Linked DNA regions of Coturnix japonica. The protein of the gene in region 2 purifies or fractionates together with the protein of the main gene of each other region. This does not show direct contact. Links are inferred from orthologs where the notes say so. Each region holds a gene or a part of one and is shown on either strand. Other genes may lie near its edges.

Region 1 (3,746 bases), on a different chromosome or scaffold from region 2:
TTTCAGAGGAGGAAACAGGTAAACAGCAACCTTCCAAAGCACCAGAAGAGATACAACTGAGCCAGCAGTAAGTAACTTACAATTAGACTGCAGGCAGCTCATGCTGTAGCAGTTACAGCTGTCCTGTTGCAACAGAACCGCAGCACGAAGGATTACATCTACGCTGGACAGAGACAGCTGGATAACACGTTAGCTCTGTAATCAACGTCTGGTAAGGGCACTATTGCAGCACAGTGGTGACACAAGGAAGGCCTACTTCTGCCTGCACAGAGGGCAGATATAAGGCTTCTGGCATGCAGCTGAGCTGTGCCCAGTCAGCTCTTACCCTGGGCTGGTTTTATCTGCAAAATGCAGAGACCGGTAGAGCTATTTCTAAACCAAATCAACACGCTATCATCCTGTGCATAAAGGCGCACCCACTACTAAAAGCTTTAACCTGTAAAGTCTGCAAATAAATTTGAAGCCAAGTTGTGGTAGGAATCGGGATTATTCAAGTTTTGAAGCTGGCTGAAGTCCACCTCGCACTCACAGACTTTGTTTCAGCACCCATTCAGGAGTCCTGCCTTCCTTCCCGTTGTTTCTACTCCAGCCAACCTACGTCTCTTCCACTGCAGTCAAAGACCTGTCGTAGTTCTGCACCAACTGCTTCCAATTATCACTAAATGCTCTTCAACACTTCAGTGCGCTCTAAACCCAAACATAAAATACAACATGCTACAGAGTCCTACAGCAAAGCCCAACAGCTTTGAGCATGACAAAGCTCTTTGTAACCAAAATCTGACTTGCACCTTTACTTTCTCTATGCTGAGGTTACATGTGAGCTGAAGTCACATACAAAAGGTTTGTCTGTAGGCAGTACAATAAACAATTTTTCCACATTTACCAGTAATTAGCCCTCATTTCTATTGCATGGTTAACTGGTTTCTACTAACAACCTCTCTGCTATTTACTTGACCTGCAAAACCCCTGTGGTTTTGCTAATACAAATGAATATAAACACTCAGGTGCTGCTAAAGCATCACCACACACAGGCAGCATTTGAGACCGTATGTAAGGCATGTAAAACTTGGCTCCTCCTGCCCCTCCTGACAAAACACAAGCTACAGTTCCAGCTCCTTAAGTCCACAGAATACTGCACTGTAGCTACTTAGTTAAAAATCCATCCTGCTCATCTTTCTGTTACCATCCTTCCTTCTGCAACCTGTCAGCTGTCACATCTAACAGGGAGCAACTCTATCCAGCTTAAAAGGTGAGCCATCCTCACCCCGGGCTGATCAGCTCAAGTGATTTTTCCATGAGAAAAGCAGTAGCAAATCAAGCAACCAAAAGGTCAACGTGGAAGCAGCGACCGTCTGAGCCAGACAGCTACCTAAAAAGAAGTCAGCTGAGCCTGTTCGATTCCAATTTGTTTGCAAAGCTTTAGAAAACACTTGCAAAACACAAGAGCAGCTTATTCACACAGGTCAGTATTAACTCTTGCAGTCAGTATTAACTCTTGCAGGCAGTAATTGCACGCTGCTTTCCTCAGAGCTCCACAGCCACTTCCTAAGGACTCAGTATTTCAGATCCTCGCTCCAGCAAAGTAAAGCAGCGATCAGAAGCAGCTCAACGCTGGCTGCACGGCATCTGTAGGCGTCCATCCCACAGATGACACTGCAAAACAGGTCTGACGGCTAGATGGCTTGTAAGGGAACGAGGATGTAACTCATTTTTTTCCCTCTATGTTGCAGAATCAACGCTGTGTTCAGAGAAGTTTCAGACACAGCGGTACGGAGTTTAAGAGCTCCCGAACGATACCAATGGGATCCGAGCGACCTCGAGGGATGAGGCTGCGATCTCAGACACCCGAACTCACGCAGAGGTTCTGTCAGAAGGGCGGCACCGAATCAAACTAACCCACAAACAAGGAGCCTCGAGGGCAGGACGGGGAAAGCAGCGCAGCTCCGGGCGGCGCGGCCGTGGGCTCAGCCGGGCGGGCCAGCACCCAACGGCACCGGGCCGGGCCGGGCCGGGCCCTGCGGGAGGGGGGAGCTCACCATGCTGCCGGCGCTCGGCAGGCGCCGTCCCGTCCCGGGGCCCTCGGTCCCCCCTGCTCGGCCCGCGCGTCGTCCCCGCGGGGCAGATTAGCAGAGTTCTCGGTCGGAGAAGCGCACCACGCAGCGGGAGTAACTGCGGGCCCGGCGTACGGCAGCCATCTTCCCTGCGAGTGAGGGGCAGGCGGAGCGCGAGCGGCGGACACGGCTCAACACACGAACCCGCGGGGCCAGAGCGCCGCCCGACGTGCGGTGCGGGCCGACACCAGCCGCGGGCACGGACCCCCGCCCCGCTGCGCGCACCACGCCCCCCTGCTCGGCCCCGCTGGGCAGCGCGATCCTGCGGGCGGCCGCTCCCACCGACCCGGTCTTGAGGAGCGGAGGCTGCCGGGAGCCGTAGTCCCGCTCGGGCGGCCATCCCGGGGGAGGCTCCGTCTCCGCTGGATGGCGCCAGTTCCGGCACGCCGTGCTGGGCTGCGGGCCTCGCCCCGACACGGAGCGCGGCGGTGCCGGCAGAGCGAGGAGCCGCTGCCGTGCCATGAGTGAGTACCGCGGGGCAATGCGGGGCGGCCCGTGCCGGGCGGGGCGGCCGGGCGGCTGTTAGGGATGAGAGCTGGCGGGGCTGGCGCTGCGTGGCGGCTGAAGGCACGGCTGCCTGCCCATCATCACGGCGCTGAGCCCATCACGGCTCTGAGCCCATCATCACGGCGCTGAGCCCATCACGGCTCCGTGCCCATCTAGCTCAGTGACAAGATTTCCCCGTGCCGCCCTGCTGCTCCAGCTGGTTCTCTAAATAGAATTCAGGCCACTCAGTGTAACGCTTTTTTTCTGGAGGAAATCACACACGTATGTGTCTTAACTCATGGCCTCCTCGCCCTTATCCGTGCCCGCCGCGCTGAGTGTTTTTAGGAGCGGAGGAGGTGCCCGGTTGCTCGGGGATGGAGCCGCTGCAGCCGGCGGGGACGTGGCGGCCGCTGCGGGCCGGGCTTCAGCCGCCGGGCCTGGAGGAGAGAGCCGCCCCAGGGCCGCCAGGCGTAGTGCCAGCGCTTGTGTTGTGGGGCGGCGGGGCGAGCTGCTCGGATACACGGCGTGACTGCGGGCAGGAGGCACTGAATCGTGTTGAGGTGTTGAGGTGGTGTGGTGAGGAAGACGCGTACAGCCCATTTTGTGGTGGCTTTGTGCTAAAGGGCGTCCGGGCTGTTCTGCCTGGGAGCATCTCATTGAGGAGCGAAGCCCTGTCACTGGGCTGCATGCGTGTGTTGTGGGATGGCGTAGGGATGTCTCCAGCAGGACTAGGGGAAATGGTTTTAAGTTAAAAGAAGGAAGATTTAGGTTGGATGTTAGGGGGAAGTTCTTCACTAGGAGAGTGGTTAGGCCCTGGAACAGGCTGCCCAGGGAGGTTGTGGATGCCCCGTCCTTGGAGGTGTTCAAGACCAGGTTGGACGGGGCCCTGGGCAACCTGATCTAGTAAAGGTGGGTATGTTTGGTGGCCCTGCCAGGCAGGGGGGTTGGAACTACATGATCCTTGAGGTCCCTTCCAACCCCGGTCATTCTGTGATTCTGTTAAATAAGTACGCGCAGCTCCAGCTGGCTTCAGTGTCATGCACATCTGTGGGAGTCTAACGCTTGCTTTTTAGGGTTCTTTTACATTATTATTCGGTTTAACAGGTAAAGTAACAGTCTCAGTATAGATTTGTGTGGCCTGGGTGTCCA
Region 2 (3,746 bases):
CTGGGGGTCGGCCTCTTCTCTTATGTCATTAGTGATAGGACCAGAGGGAATGGTTTCAAGCTGCAGCGGGGGAGATTCAGGCTGGACATTAGGAAATATTACTTCTCAGAAAGGGTGTTCAGGCACTGGAATAGACTGCCCAGGAAGGTGGTGGTGTCACCAACCCTGTGGGTGCTCAAGGAACGACTGGATGTTGTGTTGAGGGACATGGTTTAGTGAGAGCTATTGGTTATAGGTGAATGGTTGGACTGGATGATCTTTTAGGTGTTTTCCAACCTTGGCGATTCTATGATTCTAAGGCCAGTTTTTGAAAATGGTGTGAAGCTGCTGGAGCCAGCATGCAAGTGAAACATTTTGGAGAACAAAGAAATCTTTTGTTTCTCTCTGTTGCTTCCCCATTTCTCTCTTCATAAGGAGCTAGTGCTCCTTATGGGCAGAATTCTTCATAAAAAACTTTTCTGGGCAGAATTCTTCATAAAAAACTTTTTTAATGATTCCATGCAAGTTGCTTTAAGTATCTTTTGGTATAATTCAGACCAGCATTTGACTTCATCTTGGCAAGGAAAGTCCCCATAGTTTGGGAGGATACAGTACAGAGAGCCATGATGAAGCAAAATACAGAGGATACATTAATCCCACCCTCCTCCTTTACATCACAGTACCATGAATGTTTATTCCTGAGGACTGCGGAATTATAAGGCAGGACAGAGTCCAAAGCATTACTTTTCCAAAACCTTGATTTCAATAACTTGGCTTAATTTTGGCATGATTTTGCATTATCCATCCCATGCTTTTGAAAATTAACTGCCCCTCTTGTAATCCATGTGACAATGATACAAAAACTAGCAGTTTTTATTTTATCTTGCATTAAATTCATATACATTTGTTCAAAGATCACAAACATCATTATTTAGTTCATGATCTATTTCTCTATCAGACCTTCAAGCATCTCCCCGTCAGCTCACAAACTGAATGATTAAACTTTTCTTTCAAAGAATTTCTACCCTATTCTCTCCGCAATGTTGTTTTCTGAGTTGTTTTTTTGTTTTTCATGAAATTCACAATAACATTACAATTTCTAATTATATTTAGGTCATTGTGACCATTTCTCTTTAACTGCCATTTTTCAATTCAGTGTTTACTCGAAACTAGTGACTCTTGATGCCGTTCAGATGAGAGCAGTTTAATTTGGTAATGTCAGATGGGGATTTTCTTCAGTGTTCATTGTAACTTTAACACTGGATACCACGTAATTCAGTGGCCTAGGACAAGCTAAGAATTAGTATCTAATAAATAAAAAAGCATTTGCGATTTCATCATGAGCAGATACAAGTCTTAGCATTTCAGACTGGAAAATGAGTGCACCTGATGGCTCTAGAAGCGGCCTAACTCTGGGGGGCCAAGCAGGATGACCCTTTAGGGCAGTAAAACGTACAGGCCAGAAGACTCGGACCATCAACGCGACCCTGTTGAACGACTGCGCCGTTGTCATTTCCGGCTGCACACACACCTGCCTTTGTCATTTCCGCCGGGGCAGCCGGAGAAGGCAGGCTTGTGGAGAGCAGCACAACCAAAGGGCAACTCCTCCCCGCGCGGGCGCCGTGGCTGCCGGTTATTTTTAGTTCCGGACTCGAGGCTCAAACTACGCTGATCTCTTCCGGTGGCTTAGGTGGGGAGAGGTTCTGCTGCGCTGTCTTTGCTAGCCCTTTGCCCGCCTTTAGGGAGAGGAGAGGAGGCGGCAGCGGGCTGGGTAGACTTCGCGTCTACCCACGGGTTGGGTCCTCTCCACGCCGTGGGTCGCTCCGAGCCAAGCTAAGGGGGGCGGTGCCTTCTCGCTTTCTGAGCCGTGCTGAGGGGAGGCGGTGGCGGATCTGGGCTCGGCGGTAGCGGAAGGGGCGGGCGGACGCGGCCTGACTCTGCGGGACGTGCGATACTGGTGAGTGCGGGAGGCCGCGGTGCTGTGTCGCAGCCAGGCCAGCAACGCAGCCGGGCCGGGTGGGGAAGCTCAGCTGGGCCAAGGCGACAAGGGCTTAACGAAGCGTGGCCCGGCTTTGAGTCATACAGCGAGGAGCGCGGGAGCAGGAGGGGCTGGGCCTGGCCGACCTGCCCGCCCGCCTTTCTTCTACCGGGCGTACACCGCGTTCCAGAGACAGCGGGAGTCGTTGTCTGACGGGTTCGGAGCTCCGGCCTCGAAGTTGCGGGCCGGTGCGGGAGGCCTCTAACTACGCACTGGAATTACATCACCCCGCCGGACCGCGAGGGCCCGCGCTGCCGGCAACCCTCGCCTCACAGATCTGCCTGTTGTCTGCCCTGCCCGCTCCCCTATCGAGGTCGGCCCGACCTCCCTCCCGCCTCCCAGCCCTTCCCGGCACGTGGCCTGGACCGCCACGGTCGTTGCTTTAGACTTACATCTCTCAGATCCTGACCCTTCGGGCCCTTCTTTCCAGAGCCCTACACCTCTTCTGCCTTCTCACTGGCCCTAGGACTGTATGCCCAGGCCGTGTTCATTCTAGGCCTCATCTATTCTATCCTGAGGCCTCTGGAGCTTTTCCCGTAGCTTGTCTCATCACCAGTGTTAGTTTTTTGTCTGTCTTCACTTCTCTTTTCTCCTTTATTCTTCACGTGGTTACCTTTCATTCTGTTGTTTCCATCTCAAAACTAGTAGCACTCAGATCTATATAGGACCCGTGTGGTTGTAGCCAAATTTCTCTTGTGTACCCACCCAACCCCTTACTGTCATCTCTAAAGTATTTATTTCCATTGTTGTTATCTTCCTCAGCTTTATCAAGGACTGTGCCCCAGGTTTTCCCTTGTAGCTCCCTAATGTTGTGTTCCCAGGGAGAGTTTCCCAACCCTCCTCCCTTTCTCACCCCTCTCTCCCCCCCCAAATAACCTCTTACCTGTTTGTTTGTTCATGTATTTATTGCCGCCATCCAGATGGCAAGTCTTGCAGTTGTTTGTCATTGCAGCTAATCACCTCCTTTGTCTCCCAGTAACTTTGTCTGCCACTGAAAGCTGTGTCCTTATTGTGATCCTTTTCCAATCCTTATTTCCTTTTCAGCCCTATTTCTTAATCATCACCATTCCCTTATCACCTTTCCTGTTTCAGCTTTCTTCCTCCCATATTTCCTTCACCGTGATTTTTTTTTTTCCCCTTCCCTTTTGATCTTACTTTCTTGTCTTAAAAATCTTCTTTGTCATCTCACCTCTTTTTCCTTTGGCATATTCCTTTCCTTTCTAGGCTCACTTGCTGTCCCCTGCACTTTAAGTCCTCCAGCTGTGCCTTTGACAAGAGAGGAATGTGAGCTTAATTCATCTTCAAGAGTTAGGCGATTATAGATTATTTACTTGTTTCACCTTACTTTGTTTTCATTTGTTTGTTACTGACTTCCTTAATAGCCTTTTGTCAATAAATGCTTTCATATATCATCACTTTAATACATACCTAATGCAATGCTAGTCTAGAAAAAAAAAATCCGTCTTAGGACCATCCTCTTAGTCCTGCCAAATGGTTTTCATGGGGAGCAGAAATAACTGGTGGCTGTGTAACTTAAATTATGCTAAATACCGTTCGTTATGCTGAATTGTTGTAATACTTTAAGTTGGTACTTATGAGATACAGGGTGTGTTAAGAATACATTTGCTTTGAGGAATTAGTAAAGTACGTCTTCAGTACCATGGTACATGGTTTTTGCTCCAGATATGCTGGTAGTGAGCTGCTGCAGTACTGTCATTCGATGGTAAGG
Region 3 (3,746 bases), on a different chromosome or scaffold from region 2:
GAAATACATCACTGGACAAGCTGGCATAGTAAACCCCCAAAGCTGAGAGTTTGGGACACACACTGAGAACTTTCCTAATGGTGTCTGGTGCCACATTGCACACCAGAGTGCGGTTGTTGATGAACAAGCTTTGCAGGTTTGGGTTGGTGGTAGCCAGGAGTTCAACAAGCTGCCCATCGAGAGTAAAGGGCATGTTTCGAAAATCAACATGCTGAAGATCTACCTGGTTGTTCATGTTGCACATATTCCGTATGCTCCGCAGGATGTCCTGGCCAGAGTAGAAATAGGGGTTCTCCCCGTGGCACGCAATGCACAGCTGCTGCAGCTTGTGGTTCTGCTTTGCCAGCATATCTAAGATGCGTGTCACGTTCCTGCGGTTGACCTCTTTGGATTGGTCAAACCTGATCTTCAGGTGTTTGATTTGGCTGAGGAACTGGCACAGGCTCTGCAGCATGCCCTCCTCATCCTCTGAGTCACAGCTGGAAGGGCAAAACAGAAGGTCAGTCACTGTGGAAGGTAAACTGAGCAAACACAGAGCAGCTTCCCTCCTTTACTGTGTTCTGGAAAATACCAACAGCAAATACCACACATTTCTTCTTACTGGATGCCAGGCAAGTCACTGTAAGGCCAAATGCCGATGGAATGAGGGGGAGAGAGGAGTCAGACTCCAGAAAGACCAGCAGTGAGGTTAGTGCCACCATCAGGATGACTATTCAATAACTTTGTCTCCTGCTGTTTTCAACTTGAAGAAACTTACCTGAGAATGTAATACTTCCCGTGGCACCCAAACCATCACCAGCAGTTAATATAAAACCCCACATTGCATAACACCATTTTCTCTATTATATAAAGAAATTCTAGTCACAAAATGTAGCAACACGCAACACACACAAATCACAACTAACATCAATTAGTTGTCACAGCACAACACTGTAAATCTTCAGCATGCACTGATACGTAATGCTCTTGATAGGCCTGCAAAGATGCTCACACTTCAGAAGCCCATTCCTCATACCTGATCTCTGTGAAGTGCCAAACAGAACTGGAGGAAACAGCCCCAGCCCACTGCTTGCACACCTGGAAGGCCGTGTATCTATCTCGAAGAGAAAGATAGTAGAAAATTTGGATGAGGATTTCCTCTGGGACGCAGCTCCACAGGTCAGGGGCTGAAGCAAGCATAGTGCTGATGCAGTCAGCTTCAGAAACTGGAGACACTTCAAAAACTGCAGTGAATTCTCAAACAACCCTGTTAAAATAAAATAAATAAATGAATAAGAGAAGAGATATTTAGCATCTGTGTACAAAGTAAATCCAATGCAACTGGATCACAGATGGGGCCAGCACTATTTTAAACTTGAAACTTCACCACATTTTGAGATTCAGCACAAAAACAGAGGAAATCCACTGGCCAAAGGTTTGCACACAATTTCCAACCAGGCCTATGAAGCTAGAAAATAAAGTACTAAAGATGTCAGATCAAGGCTTTGGGGGGGAAGGAAGTGCATTTTCCCGCAGCAAGGGCTTTGCTACTCTAAGTATTAAAAAATGCATGAGAATTTTCTAGTGCTGCTGCACCGCGATGCAAAGAGCTGAGAGAGATTTCTCAAACTGAGGGGGAAAAACAAAACCTCTTTGCAAGCAGAAGCTCTACACAGCAAACAGCCCCACACACCCGTTTCTGTACCCATTGTGAAACAAAAGGCTCAGAGCAGATCGGGGCAGCTCCATCACAGTGACCCTTGCCTGTAACAAGGCTTGGCAGCTGGACAGAAATGTTTTATTACTGTTAACCTACTTGTTATAAGCCCCATTTACACAAGACTTAAAAAGCACAATTTGATTGATCTTATATGTGAGGTATAAACACCTTGGACAAAGATCAATAACATCTAAATGTGATATTTTTCATCCACTTTTCTAGACTGTTTTGCTTAAATAAAAGCACCAGATAAAAGCACCAATGCGAGGCAGTTTTTCAGTCCCTATCATGAGCAGGAGCAGGATTTGTACTGGCAGAGCTGTGCAGCCTGCAAGCACTGCCCTTCTTGGAGCAGCACTGGGAGATGGGCCGCGTCCCACAGCCGCCTGAACCCCCGAGGCAGCCCTCAGTCACGGCATTACTTCACCCCTCAGATCTGCCTGACTGCTGGAGAGCTGCGACGCAACAAGTACAACCCAGAGAGGAACAGAAGGCCGCGTTTTTTCAAGTATTCTCCGCTGCGAAGTGTGACTCATTCTTTCAGCACAGCCGCTATCGTATCTGCCATCGTCGCAACGACAGCAGCGCTTCCCCCCAGCGACGAGCGACAGCGGCCGGAGAACTCAGACCCGCTTCCTTCCTGGGAGACCGCTGGGTGCCGTCGTTTCCTCTGACAGCGCAGCGCTGTTTTCAGGCAGCCCCCACCCCGCGCTGCGCTCCATCCCCCTGCCATGAGCACGGCGGACTGAGCGCTGCCGAACCGCAGCACATCGCACCGCCCGCCGCACACCGGGGGTTCCCCGCTCACCCCTCGCGGGCGGTGCCTCCCTGCGTCCGTCGCAGCCGCGCAGAGGCGGAAGCGGCAGCGCCGAGGCCGGGCGGCGGCGGCGGGAGGTAAGGGCCGCCCCGAGCCCCCCCTGCTCCCTCCCCACTACCCCGGCGGCTCGGGGCGGCCACCAGTGTGCCCAGGGACGGGCCCTGCGGGATGCGGGGGCGGTGGTTCGTGTGTAAAGGGGATGTAAGAAAGAGGGTCAGGCTGTTTAGTGGGGTCTGTTGTCACACGACGAGGGGAAATGGCTTCAAACTAACAGAGGGGAGTTTAAGACCGGAGCTAAGTTAGAGGTTCTTTACAGTCAGGGCGGTGAGGCAGTGGCACAGGCTGCACACAGAGCTGGTGCTGCCCCATCCCTGCACACAGCCAAGGTCAGGGAATGGGGCTGTGAGCACTGATGGAGCTGTGGGTGTCCCTGTTCAGTGCGAGCAGACGGCCTTTGGGATCCCTCTGAACTCATACCATCCCATAGCCAGTATCAGCTGGCTAGTGGGGCACAGGCAGAGTGAGAATGGAGAGATGGACACACTGTCATATAAGGGAGAGGAATCATAAAGGAGCTAGGACCTAAAATAGAGAGGTATCCCCAAGCGTGTGGCTGCAATAATCAGAGCTGACTGGTGCAGGGCCAGGAGTGTCCTACATGGCCACTGAACCACAACAAAGGGTTTGTCTGCCCAGACTGATTCCATCCCCCTTCCAATATCTATGGCCTCAGGACTGGTCAAAGTCCAAAGCGACAGCACTAGGCTAAAGGCAGCTCTACTGGGCCCTGCATGGCTGCAAAGCCTGCTCTGCTTTATTAGGAGCAGGCTATGAGTCCCTGACTGACGCTGATGAAGAGAAGCCCAGCCTGTGTGAGAGGCCTATAAGGCTGTGCTCTGTGTGCCAGCAGCTCTGCAGTGTGCATTGTGTGGTTCCTTCATGGGATCCTGCTGTGGTTATTATTTGCATCAACCTCTGTGCATCTCTTCTCATGCTGTGCTATAGTTCTCAGGACTTTTGAGGCCTTGCACCATAGATTGCTTTGTTGGGTTGGCAGGTTTGGATTCTCTGGAGCACATGCATGCTTCCCAACAGCTTCATAAACAGAGAGCAAGGGCTTTACTGTGGCCACTGGGGTTACTGGTGCTGCAGATGAGGTCAGAATGATCTGATACACCTTTGTGCTGTAAAGGTTTAGAGAAATCAACTTTCTGTTTGAAGTGTACAGTC

What was found. Proteins that work in one complex are often made in the same cells at the same time.
Region 1: the proteins of CUL1 (region 2) and FBXO9 purify together in Homo sapiens (affinity purification with mass spectrometry; 4 studies listed by BioGRID and IntAct, with this or other methods). This does not show direct contact. The link is inferred for Coturnix japonica from reciprocal best matches to the Homo sapiens genes CUL1 and FBXO9.
Region 3: the proteins of CUL1 (region 2) and FBXL8 purify together in Homo sapiens (affinity purification with mass spectrometry; 5 studies listed by BioGRID and IntAct, with this or other methods). This does not show direct contact. The link is inferred for Coturnix japonica from reciprocal best matches to the Homo sapiens genes CUL1 and FBXL8.

Annotation. Positions count from the first base shown.
Region 1 is NC_029518.1:80,659,155-80,662,900, forward strand, and holds the start of FBXO9 (F-box only protein 9), read right to left. Parts: upstream 2,344-3,746; 5' UTR 2,040-2,343; coding exon 2,037-2,039; intron 1-2,036.
Region 2 is NC_029517.1:75,356,278-75,360,023, forward strand, and holds the start of CUL1 (cullin-1), read left to right. Parts: upstream 1-1,528; 5' UTR 1,529-1,669; intron 1,670-1,675; exon of another isoform or gene 1,676-1,936; intron 1,937-3,746. UniProt on the Homo sapiens protein: Core component of multiple cullin-RING-based SCF (SKP1-CUL1-F-box protein) E3 ubiquitin-protein ligase complexes, which mediate the ubiquitination of proteins involved in cell cycle progression, signal transduction and transcription.
Region 3 is NC_029526.1:235,534-239,279, forward strand, and holds the start of FBXL8 (F-box/LRR-repeat protein 8), read right to left. Parts: upstream 2,595-3,746; 5' UTR 2,594-2,594; coding exon of another isoform or gene 2,241-2,593; exon of another isoform or gene 2,239-2,240; coding exon of another isoform or gene 2,064-2,238; exon of another isoform or gene 2,034-2,063; intron 1,969-2,033; exon of another isoform or gene 1,868-1,968; intron 1,247-1,867; 5' UTR 1,180-1,246; coding exon 1,016-1,179; intron 480-1,015; coding exon 1-479. UniProt on the Homo sapiens protein: Substrate-recognition component of the SCF (SKP1-CUL1-F-box protein)-type E3 ubiquitin ligase complex.